4 linked regions of the Arabidopsis thaliana genome follow. The protein of the gene in region 1 interacts with the protein of each later gene in a pairwise test. Each region holds a gene or a part of one and is shown in the gene's direction. Other genes may lie near its edges.

Region 1 (5,920 bases):
GGATCCATCAAACGGGTTTGGACCCGAAATAGATCCGACAATAATAAATGACGTCAGCCCAAATGTCGTATTCGTTCAAATTCGATAGAGAAGCCCAACTTTCTATATGGACTATTAGAGGCCTTTTTGTTTTGTTTGCTCAAGTCAACGGGTACTATCTCAAGGAAAAAAAAAGAGTCAAAAACTTTGCAAAATTGATTTCACTTTGATATATGGTATAAAAATTATCGAAAATGAACGCAAAGACACAATTAAACAAAGTTTGCAGTTTCTCTCTGGCACAAAAGATGATTTTAGGTACTAGGAGCTTTTCTCTTCTTATCAGAGGCAGATGAAGCATCATCAAGTTTAGACTGACCAAATACAGACCTGCAAATTTCCAAAAGCTTTTCGATATTAGTATCAAACAACATGATAGATTGTTATCTTGAGAAAGAACATGACGGGTCAAATCTCTTACCCGCAGGTTGAACATTTCTTGTGATGCTCACAGAAAATGGACAGACACACTGAGCATATGTAGCCCATATCTATTGTCTTCTTGTGGCAAAAGCACCTGCAAATTTTGTACTTAAAACCATCTGTTATATATGCAGAGGAAGACCCGATTAATTGAAGAGTTAATGACTTGATCACTTACGATGCGCGAAAATCTACACCTATGGGTTTAGGAAGTTGTACAAAACCGCGGGAGTGCAAATCGGTTGCAAAGATTGTCTTTTGTGCAAAACAAAACAATCCAGAGTTAGCAGCCATTGAGTATTGAGTTCGCTAAATGAGAGACGAGTCACATAATGGTTTGCGTTTGGACTTGAGTTGCGTACCGTTAGATATTGAAATAGCCCATCCAACTGTTTAGGTGTATGATGTACACCACCAGTTATATAAGATGCCTACAAATAAGCCAGGAGATAACAGCTGACGCATAGGTCCAGTTTGACGAGTTAGAATCATGTATAAAGGAGAAATGATATTACCTGCTGCAAAAATGCTGAGTTCTGTACACCTATGTAACACGAATCAATGGGAACCTAAAGAACCAATTGATGAAGTGATTTGGGTACATGATACTGGATTTAGAGAACATCAAGAACCGGAAATCCCAAAGAACCAATCAAAATGAAGATTACCATCAAGCGTTGGGCAGAGAAGATAGAGTTCATAACAGCAACATACCTGAAAGAATGACAAAACCTTTTAATGAGACCAGACAAACAAGACAAAATCTTGCAAGTAGAAAAAAAATGAAGGAAGAAACATACTGTTCCGGGCCATCTGGGGAACCTTGCAAGCATAAAATCTGTATTTCATATAAACGTCAATAGCACAATCAGTTCTGTATTTTGGGGGTATACGATAGAACAGATAACACATAAGAAAAAGGAGTCTATATTCTCATTAATACTTTAAGCTGAAGATTCATACAAAGCAATCAACATGAAAAGTTTTATCCAAGACAACTGATTGATACATATATCCTACTGAACACTCACCCGAGGCTGGGGATGAAGATGTCCAGAACGGAAAACCCTCTGTATATCTAGAGCCATAAATTAAGTCAACAACAAAATGTGAAGACTGAAAATCAAATACATATATTACCAGATAACATTGATGGCCTTAGACATGCTATAGGTTTAGCTGAGAACAAACATGTCAACCTAAAATGTTCCTTACTTAACCCAGTCTAGAGAGAAAGCTAAGCTTCAAGATCACTGCCAGAACTTATGCAAACAAATCCTAATAGTTTGTACTATATATAGCTTCAAGAAACCTATCATGATGCTATATGCTTTTCCAAGAGGATACAGCAAAGAGCCATGGAGAGTGATCCTGACAAGAGACAAGAAGGTATTCTATCCTCAGACACTTCCTCCTTGCTGAGCTCCTCATCTTTGGTAACAAACTCTTCCAATTTCTTAAGCAAAGAACCAAAAATTGCAGGCATTCCAGTTCCATTGCTCTCGAAATTTCCATGATTTGATGTCAAAGACGAATCATAAATGTAATCACAAGAACTGTATCCAGTAGCTATAACTACAACTTGGTTCAACTGATTTAACCCCAAAACCGCATTAAGAAACGCAAGCACCTACACATAACAGCAGCAAGCTTTCTGCATAAAAATCGAAGCATTGAACAAACAAACAATAGATTCGTTAGAGACACTTACATGAGAAAGGAACTGAGAGAAGGTAATCGATGTAGTGCTCCAGAAAAGAGGATTCGTATCAAGCAACAAAACTAGAAGACTAACATCGTCTGCGACCAAAAAAACAATCACGAGCCAATCAGACTTGTTTCCAGTTTTTGGGATATCTAATCTACATACTTATACGATTGAGGAATGTGAGGGTTTCGAAGTAAGAGGAATTTAATAATAACCTGAATACTGCTTAGAAGCAATGGCAGGCATAGTTTCACAGACGATTCCAAGTCAGAATTTCAGTGTGCCGGGAAATCTTCCCGGTGGGAACGAGATCTGATAATGCTATTTCAGTGCCGGGAAATCGTTTTTTTTTTCTTCTCCAATATATCTTCACAACAGGTCTTTGAGTTTTCCGATTACGAACCAGAGTTAAAGAATGAAATTCTCGGATGCTATAGTAACTTACTGAAAAATTCAAGGATTTTTAGCTTATACAGAAATCTGAAGTGATTTGGTAGGAGCCGGATCCATCAAACGGGTTTGGATCCGAATCAGATCCGACTATAAACGTCGTATCGTAAGCCGGGCTTACTAAGCCCAAATATGGCATTAGTTCAAATTTTTAGATAGGCCCAGTTTTCTTTATGAACTAAACCGCCTTTTACAAGGGCCTTTTGTTTTCTTTGTTCTTTCTTTTGGAAAAGAACACCAAAATCTCAAGGAACAAATTTATTTTTCAAACTGGCTACTGATACGAAATTCAGTTTATTCAAGCTTTATACTATCGGACGTCGATATATTAATTTTAATGGTAAAAAATTTTGGTTGAAATGTTGTTTGTTTCAATACTAAAAATTAGTAAATTCACACATGTCCTGATATCCAATCCATCCTATGAAACTATAGTCATGTTTGGAGATCGTCTTGATATATAATACATGGGGCATAAAAAGCTTACTACATTTTTTTGGGAGTAACAACTAACAAATAAACAAACAAGTTTTTTGGTTGGAAAAAGAAGCAAATCACATTCATAAAGGTTTGATTGACTTCATATAATTTGATTGTTATTCATTTGATTGACTTCATATTATTTTTATTCAGTATTCTTTGGATATATACGCGCATGACAATCGACATGCTAAATACTTGTAATCCGTAGGGTCATGTGTGACTGTCCACTAAGAATCTGAAGATCTAATCATAGTTTTTACTAAAATCATATTAATAATTAACTTGGCAATATTAATGGCGATGGCCATTGGAAAGCTTTTGCATGATGGCCTAAATATAACTTATTGTTTGGTCATTTTCATTAGAAGTCCTTAGCCTCCGAGGTACATTGAACCTCACAAATTCACATTAAACTTTAAAATCTCCTATAGTTTAGTATATGAAAATTATATAACTAAATTCCACCAATGTCTTTATGAGTAAATAATAATCTTACTATCAAGTCAAATTAATATCACTAAAATAAATGTTTTGAAAGTATTATTATTTTTCAACAACAATGGATTATGTGTTTGAATGTGAAGATAACGATTCTGATAGGTAACACAAAGCTTTAAAGTTGTTTTAGCTGTAAATTAGAATGCAAAACTATATAAATAAGTAGTACAAAAAGTTAAAAATAACGTTTTTATAACGCTTTTGTAATTTGTAATATCACGGTACATGCTGTACCAAACTTTGATAATTGAGTTACCATTCAAAATCACTAAAACAAACTCTTTAAATGCATATAAATCTAATCATTAATGCAAAACGTTAAAAGTAACGCTTTTATAACGCCTTTGTAATTTGTAATTATCACGATACAGGCTGTAACAAACTTTGATAATTGAGTTACCATTCAAAATCACTAAAACAAACTCTTTAAATGTATATAAATCTAATCATTATTGCGTAGATTTATCTCAATATACACAAGCCACTATAGCCAGGTTCCGGGTAAGTAGGACAGATAGCAGTCCCATGCATTTAACCTCGTGCAAGATAAACATAAACGGTAGACACACTAGTTGCCATTTTTAGATACAACTCAACAAATAATAATTAAGATAAAGAACAAAAAAGAGTGATTAACATTTAATGGAAAGATTTATTAGCTTCCCAGGCTCCTCACTTAAATCCCACTCAAGTCTCCATATAAAAACTGCAACTTCCATCACTCTTCGATCACCATCATCACTCTCTCTCTCTCTCTTCTATTTCCATGGCTCTTGTTCGTAAACGCCGTCAAATCAACCTCCGTCTCCCTGTCCCACCGCTCTCTGTTCACCTCCCCTGGTTCTCCTTTGCCTCATCCACCGCCCCCGTCATCAACAACGGAATCTCAGCTTCCGATGTCGAGAAACTCCACGTTCTCGGAAGAGGAAGCAGCGGGATCGTATACAAAGTCCACCACAAAACCACGGGGGAGATATACGCTCTGAAATCAGTCAACGGCGACATGAGTCCTGCTTTCACAAGACAATTAGCGCGCGAGATGGAGATCCTCCGTCGCACGGATTCTCCTTATGTCGTCAGGTGTCAAGGGATCTTCGAGAAACCAATCGTCGGAGAGGTTTCGATCCTCATGGAGTATATGGACGGTGGAAACCTAGAATCTCTCCGCGGCGCCGTTACGGAGAAACAACTAGCGGGATTTTCCCGCCAGATTTTGAAAGGTTTAAGTTATCTCCACTCACTCAAGATCGTTCACAGAGACATCAAACCTGCGAATCTACTCTTAAACTCGAGAAACGAAGTTAAAATCGCTGATTTTGGAGTGAGCAAAATCATTACCCGATCGTTAGATTACTGCAATTCCTACGTCGGCACTTGCGCTTACATGAGCCCGGAGAGATTTGACTCTGCCGCCGGAGAAAACTCCGATGTTTACGCAGGCGATATCTGGAGTTTCGGAGTGATGATACTTGAGCTCTTCGTCGGACATTTTCCGTTGCTTCCTCAGGGACAGAGACCTGACTGGGCGACGTTAATGTGCGTCGTGTGCTTTGGAGAACCACCGCGTGCGCCGGAAGGATGTTCCGACGAGTTTAGGAGTTTTGTTGACTGTTGTCTCCGTAAAGAATCGAGTGAGAGGTGGACGGCGTCGCAGCTTCTCGGTCACCCTTTTCTCCGTGAAAGTCTTTAGATCCGACTGCTTGTGATATTACGGGTCTGGATATTTTCCGGGTGACCCAAATCGCAATTATTATTTTTTTGTAGAATTTTTGTATGATCAGAAATATGCTCTATTGAAATTCATCTGACGATTCATATTCTTATAAACCCCATATATAATTATGATTATCTCCCTATCAACAAAATATAAATCTAGTATCGTTTATACAAGAAATGGTTACGATGACCACTAACAGAGTTACAACATCGTATATTCATTACAATAAAAGTGTGCGTAATGTCAAAATAGTGTCGAGATCAATCGACAGAAACAGAGGAACTATTGATTATGTCTTTCGCATATCCCTCTATATTACCTAAGGAGTAAGGAACTGTGCTACATTTGGTTTGAGGAATTTAAACCCGCCGGTTTAGCCAATCCAATATGACTCCAGCTATAGTTTCCCGTTCTGGTTCAAAGAGCAGATCGTGTAACAACCCGTCGTACAGCTTGATCGACTTATCGGATGAGGAAGCCTCATTGTATAGCTTCTGAGTACCTTTAGGATCAGTAACTGTATCAGCTGTGCCGTGCATCACAAGAAACGGAACCTTGATTCTGTTCAGATTCTGCAGTAAATGAGCACCAAGTCTAAGGAT
Region 2 (5,952 bases), 2.4 Mb from region 1:
TGCAGAGAAAAAACCCACGCGTTTAGAAGAGAGGCGACAATTCTGGTATCAACTTTAATGTCGTACCATTGCATGTAACCTACTTTCGTAGCTTTGCCCCTTCATTTTTGCCTTCCATTTTCTTCTTTTATTACCAGACATTTCAACTCAAGACCAAAGTTATAATTTCATTTCATCTAAATGTAAAGAAACTATTATGGGAGCCATGGACCGTTATGTTTCGGTCAAGCTCACATTTAATTTACTTCCTTTGTAAGATATATTTTTTTTGTAACCCAAAATATTAAAATATATAGTACTTAAATAAGTTACATAAAAAAAAATCTTTAACTAGAATGCCTCTTGAGCATAATAGTAAATATATTTTTGAGGTATTATAACCCCTATCACATAGCACATTTATTTTTTGAATTAAATAAATTAAGATTTTGGGTTCAAATAGCACATTTTCACATTCTCTCATTCATTTAATTCTTTTATGTGGATATATTGGGAATTTCTCAATAATCTATATCATGTAATCAATAGTGTTCACCACCCTATATTTTTTTTTTCACTACTCCACCCTATATATTTCAAAGCTATGATAATACTTCTTTTTTTTGTTGTCATAACTCATAAAGTTACAAATTAATTCTTTGTAGTTTCGAAAGACGGAAGCATGCATCAAAATAGAAATATAGGATTTTCTTTTCTTAACAGTTTTCCCGTTTTCTCCATCTGACAAATTGACGTCCATATCGTTTAGGTTTAGAATATTAGTCTGATTTCTATGAATTAAAGATCTAGCTAGAGCCGATTATTCAAACTACTTCATGAATTAATCTTCTGTTGATATGTTGTACCGTGTACGTACAAGTTGATACCACCGTTATATAGGTTCAAGTTTTCCACAAATTTCCACATTTTTTAAAAGTGATTTCGATTCCTTACAAACTGAGCTCTGTGGTGTTCAGCTTCATAATCCACTAATTCCACAAGGAGCTCACGACTTCTCTTCCTTCAACATCTACTGTTTGTAGACATGATTTGCCAACGTTTTGTTGAGGAAACATAGTTTTGTTTTTGTTTGCCTCACATATTTATTCCATTTTTTTGTTTGTTATTTTTTTCTTTTCAATCTGCATATTTTTTCGCGGCACAACCTAAATGAAAAAAAAATTACATGCAATTAGATATGATTGTAAATCGTTATATATATAACAACGGCAAAATATTTAGACACTCCTAAAAGACTTCTGCGTTGATATATTTTTTTTCTCCTACGCGATATATGTCAATAATTACGTGATAAACATAATAACATACGTGATAATTGCATGCAACCCTTATATTTAGACGATTGATAATTTTTTCTCCTAGGCGTGATAAAACTTTTTTTGACGGATTTTTTTTTTTTGCATTCAACCCTTATATTTAGGGCTCGAATATGAATGGAGCTTTACAGACATTAATTGATCAAGAATGTGAGAGAGATTTAGATTATTTTTTATGTAAATGCGAAATTACATTAATTATCAAACATATATATACGAAATTAGTGGTGGAGATTGATTTCCGTAAACGCAAAGGGTCATTAGTCACAATCGAGCTACAGTAGGAAAGCCCTAAAGAGGCTACACCATGAAGAAAGAGCCCTAGTTGAGACAAATCCACGTGACTTTGGTTTACAGATTAAAAAGCAAAACCCTAAATAAGCAAATCGACCATAATCTCGTAAAAAGAACAGACAAAACACAACCTCATGTAGAAGGAACAATTTCTGCGCGCCGCCAGTGTTATTAATTCAGAATCATAATTTCACGATTTTCAACCCTCTCCTTTTAAGCTTCAACTCCAACATCATAATTTTCCCTTCCACAAACTACTGTATAAATCACTTTTAACTCTATTGCTTATTATTATTACTGTAATTCATTATTATTATAAATTAATGACCATTGATTATTTCCCAAAACACAATTAAAGAAAAGTGCGTAAAGATTAAAGAATAATATGACCAACGGAAATAGCTGAAAACGATGACCTTTGAATTTGTTCAAAAATAAATGAAATCAATGATTTTATAATTTTAATTTGTAAATTGTTCAAGAAAGTTTTCTGAAATATATTCATGTCTTTCACTTAAAACAAAAGAATAAATCGACCTTTAATCAACAGTATCAAAGGACCTTTATACTCTGACAATAAGAAAGAATGGTGCAAGGGTTAAGATAAAAATAGTACATCATAATTATGAATTTGTTACTTGTCAAAAAGACATGAAATATGTAACTTATAACTGCTTTTATGCAAGTCCGTAGAAAAGGAAAAAGAAAAGACATGTAAGTTCGAACGTGGAACAAGAACTTCGTTAAACGTACTTTTGCTTTCTGCATCTCTCATAGATTCACAACTCACAAGTCAATAAAAGATGCAATGCAAGTCCATTTTTTTAAATTATATATTGGGTCAGGTCCATCTTAAATTAAAAACAATAAAAATGTATATTTTATTTTCTATAAATACGTAATCAGCTATCATCACATTCAGGTGCCTCACAACCCTAAGACAATCACAGAACAAAAAGAAAAATTCTTAGCTTTAAAAATTTCCCTTAGGTCAACCATGGAAGAAGCAATCATGAGACTCGAAGGTGCCGAGCACAGAGAAACCAACATCCATTCTTTGAAAAGAAAGCCATCAAGAACTTCCTCGACAGCTCCTGGCTCTCCCGGAGGAGTAACTACCGCAAAAGCTGCCTCCGGCGCCGGCGCTTCCGGTGTCTCTACGATAAGGTACCGAGGCGTGAGGCGTAGGCCATGGGGTCGTTACGCAGCTGAAATACGGGACCCATTGTCCAAGGAGAGACGATGGCTCGGAACATTTGACACGGCCGAGGAAGCAGCTTGCGCATATGACTGCGCCGCTCGAGCCATGCGTGGTCTTAAAGCTCGAACCAACTTCGTCTACCCAATGCCTTCTCTCGACTCTTATCACCACCGTATTTTCTCGTCTCCTCCAATGAATATGTTCCTTCTACGAGACGTGTTAAACTCTCAGTCTCTTTCTCCGTTAACCACTTTCGCTTACCCGCCTTGTAATCTTTCTAACGTAAACGACGTTGTTCACGAGTCCTTCACTAACGTCAACGATGTCTGTGAAGATCTCTCGCCTAAAGCTAAGAGGTCAAGTACCATTGAGAACGAGAGCCTGATATCAAATATCTTTGAACCAGAACCAGCTAGTTCTGGTCTTCTTCAAGAAATTGTTCAAGGCTTCTTACCAAAACCTATCTCTCAACATGCTTCTATACCTCCAAAGAGCAACCAACAGTCGGTTGGTGTTTTCCCGACGATGCCAGAGAGCGGTTTTCAGACAGATGTTCGTTTAGCTGACTTCCATGTCGAAGGAAACGGATTCGGTCAGGTTAAATATCATGGAGAGTTAGGTTGGGCTGATCATGAGAATGGGTTTGATTCAGCTAAGATGCAGCAGAACGGAAATGGTGGAATGTTTTATCAGTATTGCTTTCATGATGATTATTAGAATATTGTTGTTGTTCTACTTTTTACGTGCTTATCACTTCACAGTTTCTTTAGGGTTGTAAGAAATGAGGTTAAGGGTAACTAACTCAAATCTTTTGTCTTTTAATTTTTCGTCTAGTGCTATGATCAATTTATCTCTATGTTTTAGCAAAGAACAATTTTTATCTGAGTATGAGCGAAGTTAATTAATTGTGTATGACATATGTCGGTTATGAGCAAAGGTAATAACAAAAATAAAGTAAAAATACTCGAGGTGCTGGATGAAGACAATACCTAAAGGACAAAAATATATATCTTGAACAAATTAAGATTTTTTTTTCTTTTCTATAAGTTGACTTCAGAATCATAAAGACAGCCTTTGTCCTCTTGCTTTTTCTTCTTTCCCTTTTCCCTCTCAGATCACCGTAAGGGCATAATTATATTTAGGTTCACAAAATCCTTTGTCCATTAAAGTATTTGCACCATCAAAACTCAGTAAACATATACTTAAGGACTCGAATTTGCATCAATGTTTATAACCCTTATTCAAAAAAACCATATCCCAATTATGATCTTTAGGGGTACTCTTCAAGTATCCAAGAGATCTTCTAAATATTGGAATTTCTAGTGGATGTGATATGAACGATGTTGGGACTGTCTTTAGTTTTATATGATCACATCAGTCTATATTAATTTTTATTTTAAAACAAAACATTATATAAAAATATATCATAAAATTATTCAATTATCGATATTCATTCAAAATAAAATCATAACACTTATTTGAATTTGAAATCTCGTTGTTACTACAATTCTATATATAGAACTATTCTACCAAATATTAATTGAAAAGATTATATTCATTTAAATATGAAATAGAAGTTCAGTGCTCCTAGCTCATATTGTTTTCCTCTATATTCAATGCGCTTTGTATATAACAAAAGTTTTTTTTGCATTGCACTGCATTTATATAGTATTATACACATTTATATATATATATATATATATATATACATTTACATTTACAACATTTATAAAAGTATATATGTATACATATATATAAACAACAACATTTATAAAAGTGTATAATACTATATAAATGTATACACATTTACAACATTTATAAAAGTGTATAATTGATGAATGATGGAAGTCATGATCATGAATCATTAACCATTAGAAAGTGACTTATGTGGCTTTTGGCCTTTTGGTTTTGGGGATAGAAGTAGATGAAACATCATGAAAAGTTCAAGGATACAGTTGGTCCTTGATGGACTCCATCATCATTCCCGTGATGACCATACAAAAAGAAAAAGATTTGTTCAGTCTTAAAGCTTCTTCAAATAATAAAATGATTATATACACACAATGAGGTATACCCTCTTCGTTCATCATTGATTCCCCTTCTTCTTTAATATTCACATTATGAACGACAAAGGAAACATGGAGACTGAAGCTTCCATAGCGGCGATGGGCCTTGGGGGTCTGTCCCGTCAGACCAGCATCACTAAGACCATTTGCATTTGCTCACCGACCACTCACCCGGGGTCATTCAAGTGCAAGCTTCACCGGACTCCTTCGCTGCAGCGTAACAAAAGCGTTGAGACTAACATTCTTCAAAGTCTCATGACAAAGCCAGATCATTCTAAGTAGACACTAGGAAGCTTAGGGTTTGTTTTTGTTTATTCTTTAGAGCATTATGCTAGTGACCAAACAAGGTAGTAGTTCTATTCTACTTTCTGTCTCTACGTCTTGTAGTTATTGGTTTTATATGTGGAAGGTTTCTTTCATCTAGAGTATGCGTAAAATATTAACATTTACTTTCTTCTAATCTCTAATAAATTGATTAATAAAATATAACTTTCCAACTTATCAATTTTGACACAATCTTTCAAATGTTAAGCTATGTCAAAAAATGTTTTTCTTTTTCTTGATATTATACTTGCGCCTCAAGATGTTGGCCTTTAAGGTGTTTCAAAGGGCATTACAAAGCAAATCTGATCGGATCTATGAATGTGTGAGGTTGCTACTGGTCCAACGTTTCCAAAATTTTAAGCGAAATGTAAATTTTAATCTTTAAAATAAACAAATCACAAAATAATATTACAGAAACAATAGAAAAAATAATGTCAAAACTTCATAAAATCAATCTCTTAATAGAAACACTCTGATTCTTATAAAAAAAGTGGCGGAAAAACATTTTGTGGATGGAAAGTAGTCTGATAATTGAGTGGTATCATGAAAAGTATTTGAAGTTGGGTACTTTTAAATTTAGACTCTCATACATGGGCTTATCTCTCACCTATGATATGGGCCGGTCCGGGCCAGGTGAACCTAGTTGACACATACCTGCATGATCACTTTTTGACCAAGCAACAAAGACAAATCTATTAGATGACCGACGAAGAGAACCACGTTTTTCCTACGTTCTCCTCCACTATAACTT
Region 3 (6,463 bases), 6.8 Mb from region 1:
AGACAAAGACGACACAGATCTACTCACCTTCAGGCCATAGAAACAGCTCTCTTACAACAAAGAAACGATAGAACAGAGGATGAGGACATTGTTCTTTGGAAAGGTAAAAATGACGTATATAAGCCACAGTTCTTGACTAAAGAGACCTTGAATCATATGCGGACCATATCCATGGACGTTGATTGGTATAAGGGTGTTTGGTTTGGTCATTCCACGCCAAAGTACTCTTTTTGTGTTTGGTTAGCAGTTCTTAACCGACTCTCAACAGGAGACAGAATGACTCATTGGAATGGAGGTCAGTCAGCCGCTTGTGTGCTATGTCACAACGCTCCCGAAACCCGGGATCATCTCTTCTTCTCCTGTGACTTTGCTTCGATAGTTTGGAGTAACTTAGCAAGAGGAATCTATGGAGACAGATTTTCTACACATTGGCAAGACCTGATACAAGCCATCTCCGGCTCTTGGATGACACCGCTTGACAGTTTCTTTGCGCGATATCTCTTTCAAGCCACGGTACACACCATTTGGCGCGAAAGGAACGGAAGGAATCATGGAGAGAAACCAAACTCAGCAGCTCTTTTAATCAAATGAATAGACAAACAAACTCGGAACCAGCTTTGTTCGATCAAAGCAAGTGGAGATAAGAGATATGACAAGGGCTTACAAGCTTGGTTTGCGATGAGAGAATGAGAAACAATTTTTAGATTGTATTCTAGTTTTTGCTCCAGTTTTTTCAACAAAATGTTGCACATAGATGTAAAAACGCTATTTTTTTTTTGGATTTAATTTAACATTACATTAAAAAAAAAAAAAAAAAAAGTACGATGTATATCACAAGATTATAGAAATACGAGATTCTATGTATCTAGGTGGTATCAAAGAGAAGTGAAAGGTTGAGGAAACTTTTTACAAGAAATGTAAAATGGGATGAGTGAAATTAAAGGGAATGAAAGAGAGTAGAATTGTTTTTTGGATGAGAACTCATGAGATCATACCTACACACAAGACCAACCCAAAGCTAAAACCTGTAAAGCATGGGCTTTTTAGGCAGTAGATGATTCTAAAACAATTTAAAAGCACCATTTTAGAGATATATATGGTCGAAGAGTGATTAACACTTTCACTCTCTCACCATTTTATTTTATTTTTAACGTCTTGCCTACACATTTAAAACATTAATTGGTTGATACTTTTATACTTTTTTAAGCAATTAAAATAATTTATTTAAAAATAAATGTATATAAAAAAATATTAATAGTTTATTTCTTAGATACTCAATGAGTCTCCATCCAATGAAGGTGCTCTAACAGAATCTTGAACAAGGCTACATACTATATGGTCTTGTAAATGAACATTTTCACTTTTTGGAGAGAACAGAGACAAGACAATGGACCGTGGGAGGATCCAGAGTTTCAGACCAAACATCACGTTTTTTTATCACTCGCTTCTTGTACTTCTTCAACTATCTCTGACTGTTTTACTGTTTTCTTTCACTGCTAATGCTTACACGTGCATCTGTCTCAACAATTATTTTTCAGGAAAATAAAAAATAAGAGAGATTATATATACAGTTCAAAATATAATTGCATATATATATATATATATATATATAAATTATATAAAATATACTGTTCAAATATAAAGTTTTTTTTATAGTGGTTTGGTTTCACTTTCATTGTTATCTATAATTTAGCTCACGGTGCGTACATGTAACTTACATTAAGAACAGCCAAAAAGCTCAAGCTCGTGTCCAAATTAAGATTCCGAATGGTATAGCTAGCAATATAATATATTATATGGTTTTGGATTGATAAAAACATAAAACCTAATAAAGGAATTTAATTGATATAAAAAATGAAACAATAATACAGTCTAAATATTCAATTATGAATTAAAATATTGCAATAAATCAGTTAATAGGCATTAATACTAATATGATTATACATACATGGTTAATCACTAAGAGCAACGTGAATATCAATAAACTAATTGATTTACTACGCTTGCATAATTATTTTCCTTAAAACTTTTTGATTTCGAATACTTTGTTAACACCCTGATACATGTGCATATAACATAGTAGGCTGAAATTGGACTATTCTTAGACAGTTTTCACATCTAGAATGAGATGTATAGGTTTCGTTGAGAAAAATTGTAGTTGAGATGATTAGTTATATATAACCTATGTCTGTGGGTGCTAATTTGGCAGATGGGAAAAGAATTGAAGCCTTTATATATAGTCTTCAATTATTAGTATCATCGTTAATAAAAACAGTGGTCCTTATCTCTCAACAAGTCTTTCATCAAATTCGGATAACAAAGACAAAATAGAGAATCAAAGAAAGAGACATTTGTGTTATTATCAGTAAATTATTAAAAAAATAAATAATATTAAAACACTATTATATTGGGTGTAAATTGGCTCTATGATTAGTGATTAGTTTTTTTCTTTTCCCCCATAGAACATTCAACGTTTCCCACCCATGCAAAATCCAACCTAAAAGCCAAACTTTATAAGGAAACCAACAAATAGATCCCTACAATCTAAAGATTGCAACAAAAATGCCCCAAAATTATAATCTTAGACAATCCACACCTTTTTCAATCATGTAAAACACTTCCAAACTTTTCATAGTCCATTGCTAAAAATAGTTTTAGTCTCACAAAGTTAGACCAAAATTCAATACATTCGGCGCATAATTATTTTTATACTACAATATAGTAAGTGTGATAATAACCAAACAAAAAAAGGTTAAGTGATCATTTGGTGTGGAAACAGCAAATATTGGTCTCTACTCTCTACTACAAAAACCTAGTGGGACTACAAATGAAAATAAAACACAAAAGAAAAAGAAAGTGAAAGTCTCTCTCTCTTTTCTACAAGCTGCTTCATCTTCTTCCTCTCACTCTCTCTTTCTCCAAACAAGTAAACAACAGTCAACACAAACTCATAGCCCCACCAGAAAAAAAAAATACTCCAAGAATTTATAGGTTATAAGTAAAAATTCAGTACAAGTTTGTTTGTTTGTTTATTCCATTTTCTTGTGTGTTTTTTTCCCCATAATTTATAAATTTTATAAGCAATATGGAGTCCCACAACAACAACCAGAGCAACAACAACACCACTGGTTCGGCCCATCTGGTCCCATCCATGGGACCAATCTCCGGTTCAGTCTCATTAACCACCACTGCTCCAAACTCCACTACCACCACCGTCACCGCCGCTAAAACACCCGCAAAACGACCGTCCAAGGACCGTCACATCAAAGTAGACGGACGTGGCCGGAGGATACGTATGCCGGCTATCTGCGCAGCACGTGTCTTCCAACTAACACGTGAGTTACAACACAAATCGGACGGCGAGACTATAGAGTGGCTGCTCCAACAAGCGGAGCCAGCTATCATCGCAGCCACCGGAACTGGAACCATACCGGCGAATATCTCTACTTTGAACATCTCTCTTCGAAGCAGTGGCTCTACTCTTTCAGCTCCACTGTCTAAATCTTTCCACATGGGAAGAGCGGCTCAAAACGCTGCCGTTTTTGGGTTCCAGCAACAGCTTTATCATCCTCATCATATCACGACAGATTCTTCTTCTTCTTCTCTTCCCAAAACATTCCGTGAAGAAGATCTTTTTAAAGATCCTAATTTTCTAGATCAAGAACCCGGTTCAAGATCACCTAAACCGGGATCCGAAGCTCCTGATCAAGATCCGGGTTCGACCCGGTCAAGAACACAAAATATGATACCGCCGATGTGGGCACTAGCGCCAACGCCAGCCTCCACAAACGGAGGTAGTGCTTTTTGGATGTTACCAGTCGGAGGAGGAGGAGGTCCGGCTAACGTTCAGGATCCATCACAGCACATGTGGGCGTTTAATCCGGGTCATTACCCGGGTCGAATCGGGTCGGTTCAGCTAGGGTCTATGTTAGTGGGAGGTCAACAGTTAGGGTTAGGTGTTGCAGAAAATAACAATTTGGGGCTATTTTCCGGCGGAGGAGGAGACGGTGGTCGGGTTGGTCTCGGAATGAGTCTTGAGCAAAAGCCTCAACATCAAGTGAGTGATCATGCTACTAGAGACCAAAATCCTACTATAGATGGTTCTCCTTGAAAGACTTCATGATTTCTTTGGTTTTTAAAAAGTGTGAATGTGTGATTTATTGCAACTTTTGTTGAGGACTCCAATGTTAATATGGGTTTTAGGGTTGGCTTTTCGGGATTGCCAAATTGTTATTTAAGAAAATGGATTTATTGTTTTGGTTGCATAATAATTAACGAGTTTTGCAACTCTTTTTATTCGATGCAAAAGCATGTCACTTAAAGGAAATATAGTTGAATCTCTATGTGTAACATAATGGACAAAAGAATAAATTAAATATTTATCAGAATGCCTTTTCTCTTTTGTTGAAGGGTATAATTGAATACACCTTCTTTGACCGCTCATATATTTCAAATATTTCGAATTGATTGCAGTTCGTAAAAAGCTAACGAATATAAATAAAAAATTATATGGTGTAGACTGTAGTGATAAACTTTATTGGGTGCATGAGCACCACATGTTTGGATACAAATGGGTTTTTAGATTTATATATTAATTCTCTTTTAAAATTCGTATTTTGTCTATCATACTTTTGTAGTATCTACCAAAAAATTGTCCACTTGTGGAGCAACATGGACACGTCAGAGAGAACTCCTATGCCACAGTAAATTCCAATGTGTTTGAAAAATAGGCTGGACGGGTAATCAGGCGAAATGCCGTTTTTAATGTGACTAGGGGTTAGCCCGGATATATATTTTGATAATTGATATTTTCAAGTTAGTTGATATAGTTTAAAAAAAATATTGGATTTGATTTCGGAAGTGTATATAATAGATGGTTTATTGGGATTTTTATATATTTACTATTTTTAATATATTTAAAATATATTAGAAATAATATGTTATCATGTCAAGAAGAAAGAATATGATTTATTTTACTTGTGATTTATATATCTATCATATATGGGATGTAGAAGCATGCTCCTAACTTAAGCTTTAGCAAGTTACATATTAACATAAGACTTGTTACATAATTCTGACCAATTACAATTGCTAGAATACGTGTATCAGTAATATTTTAGAAAACGTTAACATGCAAATATAAAAATATTACTTATCCTAACTTCTGTCTTTTATTAATTCGTGTATTGACTATTTCATATTTTTTATTTATCTTTCTCTCGTATTACCAATGTCAAAGCGGAGTATTTGGCAAGAAAAATTCGTGTCAAACCGCTACATATTACCTATATAAACAATTTTCCGCAATCTTGGTTCATCTGAACTCTAAATAATATCTGATGACAAAAAATAAAATCACTCTCAACATTCTCTTCGGGAAAAATGTCATGTAATCATTCAACTTTAAAAAAATGGCCATTTTATATAGGAATTTCATAGTAAGCTATTTTAAATATCAACTAAATGTTGACTGCCATATTAAACATGAAATTGCGTTGATCAGACCAATTTTGACATGACGTTAAAATGTGATTACGGAACCACTAAAAGCCGATATCAGTCGTTAACTATTCTGTAGTCATGTGTTTTGGTTATTTGTATTCTTTTTATTTTTTTTTGTCTTAGTTTTGTTGTGCGTTAACGATTGATAACAGTTGTTAGTGGTTATGTTAGTAGATTTTAAAATCATGTTTTTTTTGGCCGGGTCAACATTTAGTTGATGATTAAAATAGCCTTATACGAAATTCATGTTCAAAATAGCCTAAATTTGAAAGTTGGTAATTTGACTAACAGAATTGTTAACGACTGTTAGTGGTTCCGTTATCGGATTTTAATGTCATGTCTATATATATTGGTTAGGTCAATACAATCTCATGTTTAATACAGCAGTCAATGTTTAGTTGATGTTTAAAATAATATACTATAAAAATTCAATATAAAATGACCATTTTTTAAAGTTGGACGATTAAATGATATTTTTTCCATTTCTCTTCTCCTCTATTCTCACAGCGCAGTTCTCAAAGGTGATTTTTTTAATCATCCTTCCGTTGACCTTATACACCATCTCCGACCCTCCTCCTTCGTAGATATGCTCTGCTTCCATGCACATTTTGATGAGGGAGAAGACCCATCTATTAATAATTTCTTATGCATTGTAAACATCGATCTCAAGAAAACATTTTCTCTACGTGGTATCTATGGAACATGCAGCTGATATTAATTATTGGCTGTGATTAAACTCAAAGCTTTTATAAACTCGATGAGAGAGTAGTGATGAAACTCAAACATATTTTATCATGATGCAAGTGGCAAAGAAAGTTGACCTCACGAAGAGATCTCTTTGCATTGATCTGGACATCTGGTGACAAAAATGCATCACCAATGTTCTTTGACACTACCTTTTTACTGCTCTTCAAGTTCATAGCCGGATTTAAAACAACAAACGACCAGTTAGTATAGGCAT
Region 4 (6,911 bases), 4.1 Mb from region 1:
TGTGTGTATCAGTTAAGATTGAGCAACAAAGATTGACTTTAGTCATCAAGTTAACAAGAAAGAGTGGCTATTATAAGCTTTAAGCGTTGATGTTCATCTTGGTTTTGAAAATCATGAATAGTCTCACACAAATCTGTTAACAACTTGCTAAAAAAAAGGATTAGCTAGAAAACTTAGGAAGTGTCAATAGTGTATGTTATTTACAGACATTTGATGGGTCTTGGTGGGCTTAAGAAGATAGCCCAATCTTTTGAAGAAAGAGATATGAGATGCAAAATCCATGAACTTTAAGGGTCAATTTCTGAACCAGTAAAAAATGTGGTTAAAAGTGTAAGAAAACAAGAATCTTTGGAAACATGTGTAAGAAAGCAACTAATTTAACTCCCGCCCTCTCTTACCAGTTTTCTATTTTGTCTTCTCCGTCCTTACCGTGTGTTCTGAAAACTGAAAAAGAACCAAAACGAAAATCTAAAAAAACCCTTGAAAAATCTATTTTTTATTGACTGGTTATTGTTTCAAATGAAAGCTTGACCTCTCTCTTATTGATCAATTTTCGCTTCTTCAATTAAACCATATTTGTTTTTCCCTTTCAAGCATTTTGATTCTCTAGGACAAAACACAAACCGCCATAGACAGAATGCTTTGGGTTATTATCTCTCAAAGTGTTCTGAGAATTTGAACTGTTTAAAACATGGGAATCGATGCCAAAGATGTCGGAACTCTGTTCTGGAAAATTCTCAGATTTTCCACGAACATCGTTTATAGAAACGTAAGGAATCACCCAGTTGTTTCTGGTGTTTCTGCAATTATCTTCCTCCTATACATTTTTCTTCCACGCCTTTTTTATTTCGTCCTTTACTCTTCTCCGTTAATCGCATGCTCTGTGTTTTATCTTCGGAATCATCCAAGTTTTAAGCTTTTGCATATCAAAACGGATAATTGGTTTTCACCATTTTCCCAAAAGAGATCTGAGGAGGAAGAAACAAGGAAGGCTGACTTAAAGCACCAACGAAGTGTTCGACGAAACGCTAGAAGGAAAGTTGAAGAGGTTGGGAAAGATTGGGACTCTTCTCAGGCTAGTGAAGATGAGAGAGACAGAGTCATTTTAACAACTCTCTATGGTGAAATTCCCAATACTGCAAAATCTCCCAAACTTCAGAAATTCAAGAAAGATGGAGCCTTTCTTGTGTCTGAAGGTTTCTCCTTTGAGCCTAGCTTAGATGAAGAAACTCTTTCAACCACCGGGAATGTTTCCGTTGTGGATCCATCGGAGAGGTTGACTAGTGGTGGTGGCGAAACCGAGATCGAGTGTTCATCGTCATCAGAAGGCGAAGAAGAAGAAGAAACTACACGTGAAGACAAAAAGATTGTAGCTTGGACAGAGGATGATCAAAAGAATTTGATGGATTTAGGAAACTCTGAGATGGAACGTAACAAGAGGTTAGAGCATTTGATTACTAGAAGAAGAATGAGGAGATTAGTCCGACTTGCCGCTGAGAGTAGCTTAATGGATATGGAAGTTCCTCCAGTCTGTGTTGGACGGAACTATTTCGGTTTGGATCAAGAAAACTATATAGTTGATGGTCTTCAAATGCCTGAATCTGCACCTTCTGTGTTATTACCAACTAAAAACCCTTTTGATATTCCTTATGATCCACAAGAAGAGAAGCCTAACCTCTCAGGAGATAGTTTTCAGCAAGAGTTTGCAGCCAACCCTAATGATATCTTCTTCTGCCGCCATGAAAGCTTTTGTCGCAGAGTCTTTCCATTGGACAATCAGCTTGACACGAAATGGGAACCGTGGAAAAAGAAGTCAATACCACAACAAGGTACATCCTCTTGTCATTCTGAAAAATGTTGTAGCTTACAAAGTAAATGATTCTAAGTTCTACAATTCTGATCCTTGCTCATGTAGGTAGCAATGATGGATTGGTTGGGGAGAAACATCCTGTAATGAAAGGAAAAGATCTAACAAGAGGAGAAGTAAATGATATGGAGTCAGAACACATGACAGAGATTGTTGTTAGTGATTCAAACTCATTGCTTTCTCCTGAAGACAGGGAAATGAATTCTGATGTCTCAAATCAAGCATATTTTTCTGGAACTTCTGGGAAAGGAAATGGTGATCTTCGTGTTGAAAACCCTTTAGTTGGTTTAGTTCCTAGAAACACTGGTTCGCTTTCGAGTTCTTTAGCAGCGGAAAGGCAAAGATACGTGGAGCATTTTGGTTATAGCTCAAAAAAAGGTCATAAGTTATCTGTAGAATCTGATCTTCAAGTTGAGGTTTCTGAAATTGGATCACCTCCCACTACAGTTGATGGGAATAATTCTTCTGATGAAGAAAAATCACGTATTGTCAACGAATCAGACATTGGGAAGGAGACGGGATTTAGTGGTGAGGAGAGCATTGTGGATAGAACTGAAGAAACTCAAATGTTACCAGTGGAGAAAGTTGATAAAGATTTAAATGAAACGATTTCTAAGGTCTCTCCAGAAACTTATGTAGCCAAACAAGTTGAGGGTCTGTCTGATGGTACTGATATCAACGGAAGATCTGAGGAAGAAGAGAGCTCAAAATCCGGACGCTTTCCACTGGAAAATTCAGACAAAGGATTCTATATACATGAAGAGTCAACAGTTCCTCACATCAATGAAGTTATTTCGAGAAGAGAAGAGGTTATATAGTTCTTGTTCTTGTCAGGTTTTATGGAAATATGATTGCTACTTGCAATGTGTTTCTCAAAATGTTGAATTTGAATATATTCCTTGTACCGTTATGACAGGAACGTGTCCAAAACTTGACTGATGAGATGAAGATAAATGATGACTCTGATGAACCTGAAGCCTTTGAAAGAAGAACAAATCAAGAACCCCAAGAACATTTTGGGGGAAATGATGGAGACCAATCAACTCAAGAGTTGCAAGAACTTGTGGAACCTGAAGTTTCAAATGTGAACAATGTCACATCAGACGAGTCTGCTACTTCCCCAAGATCAGTGTTACCAGACATGTTGTTATCTTTAGACCAGACTTATACTCTGACTTCTGAGAGTTTGGAACATACATTAGATAGTCAACCTCCGCCAGTGATTCCATATCCGGAATCTCCACAGAATCAATCAGGTGTTGATGGGAACAGTAGATGAAGTGTGCTCAGAGATCAGTTTCAATGACAGTACTTGAACTGAAATGTACCTTTAACAAAATGATGACGTGTGTTTTCTAAAACAAGGATAGTCTGAGGCAAGTGAGAAGCTAGAGAAGAAGTTTCTTCTTTAGATGCCATTGTCCTTTTGTTGAACACTCAACAAATTCAGGCTTATGCAGTGTAGAGGATTTAGGTTCCCTAGCTAAATTTTATGTATATGCTAAAGTTGAACATTAATGTGTGGAATTTGATTTAGTGAAGTGATCATCATTTTGTTTGATGATAACTGAGATATAATTTATGTTGTCTTTTAAAAAGTTTAATGTATTATAGTATGGGAAATCTGATAATGATTGGTTATTTCTAAATTTTAGTAAATTACTTTCTCTTTTAGTTTAAAATAAATAAAGGATCGTTGATTATCAACAAGATAAAATTTTTTACAACAACAACAACTCTTCTCCTGATTATGAAGCTCTAAATATTTTTTAATATTAATGACCAATTAATTTTACCTTTTAATATAAGTGGTCACCTTTTTTTTTTAAAACCGTATATCAACTTATCTGCGTTTTTCTCGTATTCTCTCATGGGATTAATATTTGCTTTTAAATGTGGATAAATGATGTCCAAAAAAACATTTGGATAAAATTTTATCCATGCTGAAAAATGTATAACAAGAATTTTTTTTTTTTTTTTAATAACAAATACTTATAATTCTTACGATTATATAGGTGTAGATTATTATTCTTTTTCATGCAATGACCATGCGGATAATTTTGTCTAAATTTTATCCAAAACTTTTTTCACACTCATTTCTTATAGGAAAAATATTCTACCCAGACTTGCTTGTGTAATTATATGAATGTTAAAAATATTACATAATCAAAAGCCAAGCTCTGAGATCATATATGTCGTATAAAAAATTATTATTGTGTCGATCAAACGTCATTATCTTTTACTTAAAAAAAAAAGAGTTTTTATTTCTTAATCTCGATATTGATCTAAACGATTTAATTGTTTATTTATTTAAATGATAATATCTTAATATCAAAACACATATATCTTATCAGTAATTATCCACATTTATTCTCAGATAAAACAGGATCGAGTCAGAAGAAAAATTCGTTCAAAAAGATTCAGTTGTTAAATCTTAGTTTATCCAAAACCCTCACACTCATCTATAAAAGAAACCCCATCTCCTCTCTTAGGCATTTGAGTTTTATTTACGATCCTCAATACCACATAGTCAGAAATATTAAAAGAAGCTAAGAGATCAACAACAATGGCTGTTGGTTCGATGAATGTCGAAGAAGGCACTAAAGCTTTTCCTGCGAAGCTGACAGGTCAAGTCTTTCTTTGCTGTGTCATTGCTGCTGTTGGTGGTCTCATGTTTGGTTACGACATCGGAATCTCAGGTTTGTTCTTCTATTGGTTTTTGTTTGTTAGGGTTTGACTGTTTTTTCAGTGATATCAATTAATGGTGATCAAAATTTGCAGGAGGTGTAACGAGTATGGACACTTTCTTGTTAGATTTTTTCCCACACGTGTACGAGAAGAAACACAGAGTACACGAAAACAACTACTGCAAATTCGATGACCAGCTCTTGCAGTTGTTCACTTCCTCACTCTACTTGGCTGGAATCTTCGCTAGCTTTATTTCTTCCTATGTTTCTAGGGCTTTTGGAAGAAAACCCACAATCATGCTCGCCTCCATCTTCTTCCTCGTCGGTGCTATCCTCAACTTATCTGCCCAAGAACTCGGCATGTTGATCGGTGGTCGTATTCTTCTCGGCTTTGGTATCGGTTTCGGTAACCAGGTATCATGTCAAACCCTCAAAACGTTTTTCTATCTCAGTGGATTCCTCTGTTTTCATCTAGGGTTCCTCTGTTTTCACCTAGGGTTTCCTCTGTTTTTATGCCTTAACTCATCGTGTTTTGTTTTGTTTTGTTTATTAACATTGAAAGCAATACTTTTGCAGACCGTTCCATTGTTCATCTCAGAGATTGCTCCGGCGAGATACAGAGGAGGACTAAACGTCATGTTCCAGTTTCTCATCACCATTGGAATCTTAGCAGCAAGTTATGTGAACTACTTAACTTCCACGTTGAAAAACGGCTGGAGATATTCTCTCGGTGGTGCTGCTGTCCCCGCTTTAATCCTCTTGATAGGATCCTTCTTTATCCACGAGACTCCGGCTAGTCTCATCGAGCGCGGTAAAGACGAAAAGGGGAAGCAAGTCCTGAGGAAGATCAGAGGCATTGAAGATATTGAGCTCGAGTTCAATGAGATCAAATACGCAACAGAGGTAGCGACAAAGGTGAAAAGCCCATTCAAAGAACTCTTCACCAAGAGTGAGAACAGACCACCATTGGTGTGTGGAACGTTACTTCAGTTCTTTCAACAGTTCACCGGTATCAACGTGGTTATGTTCTACGCTCCAGTTTTGTTCCAGACGATGGGTAGTGGTGACAACGCTTCTCTGATCTCTACTGTTGTCACCAATGGTGTGAACGCAATCGCTACAGTTATCTCTCTTTTAGTGGTTGATTTCGCCGGTAGAAGGTGTCTTCTGATGGAAGGAGCTCTCCAGATGACCGCTACACAGGTTAGTTTTTTTTTTTTTTTTTTTGCTTGTGTCACATGGTACACATATTCTTACTTGGATAACAAGCTAACTTGTATTTTTTTTGATCATCTTACGCAGATGACAATTGGAGGCATTCTCTTAGCTCACTTGAAGCTAGTTGGTCCTATTACTGGCCATGCCGTGCCGCTGATTGTATTGATCCTCATCTGCGTATACGTGTCTGGATTTGCATGGTCTTGGGGTCCATTGGGATGGCTTGTTCCGTCTGAGATCTACCCTCTTGAAGTGAGAAATGCTGGTTACTTCTGTGCGGTGGCGATGAACATGGTCTGCACTTTCATCATTGGACAGTTCTTCTTGTCTGCTCTCTGCAGATTCAGATCATTATTGTTCTTCTTCTTCGGAATAATGAACATTATCATGGGACTATTTGTCGTGTTTTTTCTTCCCGAAACCAAAGGTGTTCCTATTGAGGAAATGGCCGAGAAGCGTTGGAAAACGCACCCGCGTTGGAAGAAATATTTCAAAGACTAGATTTCATTTTCTTTCTTTCTTTTTGTTCCCCAAGGTCCCTAGTTAATAACTAGTAATTTGAACCTTTTCTAATTTTTCTAGCTAGGGTTTGATTTTTATTTTCTGCTATTTTTTTAAGTTTGTAGTTCGAATTGTTAAAGATTCAGTTGGATATGTTTATCAATCAGTTGGAGAAGTTTAATATTTTCAGTTCTGGTATTCAAATAATCAGGCACAATTATAGTTTGGGGATTGAATTGTCTAAGCAAACGACAATATTCTCGAACTTCAGTTTTTAAGATTCCTAATAAAGTGGGACAAATCACTAAGAGATTTGTGCATATCAATATAATCTATATTAACTATTCAAAAACAACTATATATATCACTAATAAAATCATGTAATTTTTAGTTTTAAAGTTAAATTTACTCTTGTTGAAAAGAAGAAGAAGTTAAATTTACTCTTTATACCACTTACACATAGGTGTATGAAATACAAAATATAACTAGAAAATAATTCAGAGGGAAAGAAACGTAAATTTGTTTTACATATAATTAAGTAAAATGTTGAAAAACAGAAAAAGGTTAAGACAATTTTTTATTGTTTTGATAATTTGAGCTAAGACAAAGTAAAAAAAAAAATTAAAACAAAATTTTGT

What was found.
Region 2: the proteins of MKK7 (region 1) and DRNL interact in binary tests that used the Arabidopsis thaliana proteins (3 or more experiments, as listed by UniProt).
Region 3: the proteins of MKK7 (region 1) and AT1G35560 interact in binary tests that used the Arabidopsis thaliana proteins (3 or more experiments, as listed by UniProt).
Region 4: the proteins of MKK7 (region 1) and STP2 interact in binary tests that used the Arabidopsis thaliana proteins (3 or more experiments, as listed by UniProt).

What each region holds. Positions count from the first base shown.
Region 1 is NC_003070.9:6,311,319-6,317,238, forward strand, and holds MKK7 (MAP kinase kinase 7), read left to right. Parts: upstream 1-4,317; 5' UTR 4,318-4,367; coding exon 4,368-5,291; 3' UTR 5,292-5,420; downstream 5,421-5,920. Other genes in the region: AT1G18335 (Acyl-CoA N-acyltransferases (NAT) superfamily protein), read right to left, coding at 1-8; AT1G18340 (basal transcription factor complex subunit-like protein), read right to left, coding at 294-369, 461-556, 641-717, 825-893, 978-1,031, 1,131-1,176, 1,263-1,300, 1,494-1,540 and 3 more; AT1G18360 (alpha/beta-Hydrolases superfamily protein), read right to left, coding at 5,678-5,920. UniProt on the Arabidopsis thaliana protein: May function as a negative regulator of polar auxin transport. Positively regulates plant basal and systemic acquired resistance (SAR). Activates MPK3 and MPK6 in vitro.
Region 2 is NC_003070.9:8,711,965-8,717,916, reverse strand, and holds DRNL (DORNROSCHEN-like protein), read left to right. Parts: upstream 1-2,538; 5' UTR 2,539-2,607; coding exon 2,608-3,528; 3' UTR 3,529-3,552; downstream 3,553-5,952. Other genes in the region: AT1G24577 (uncharacterized protein), read left to right, coding at 4,932-5,159. UniProt on the Arabidopsis thaliana protein: Required for correct embryo patterning and cotyledon organogenesis. May positively regulate the gibberellin signaling pathway leading to germination, hypocotyl elongation, and leaf expansion.
Region 3 is NC_003070.9:13,113,747-13,120,209, reverse strand, and holds AT1G35560 (TCP family transcription factor), read left to right. Parts: upstream 1-2,974; 5' UTR 2,975-3,085; coding exon 3,086-4,111; 3' UTR 4,112-4,384; downstream 4,385-6,463.
Region 4 is NC_003070.9:2,250,440-2,257,350, forward strand, and holds STP2 (sugar transporter 2), read left to right. Parts: upstream 1-4,382; 5' UTR 4,383-4,433; coding exon 4,434-4,566; intron 4,567-4,648; coding exon 4,649-4,968; intron 4,969-5,130; coding exon 5,131-5,757; intron 5,758-5,856; coding exon 5,857-6,273; 3' UTR 6,274-6,411; downstream 6,412-6,911. Other genes in the region: AT1G07330 (dentin sialophosphoprotein), read left to right, coding at 692-1,829, 1,916-2,676, 2,784-3,146. UniProt on the Arabidopsis thaliana protein: Mediates an active uptake of hexoses, probably by sugar/hydrogen symport. Can transport glucose, 3-O-methylglucose, xylose, mannose, fructose and galactose.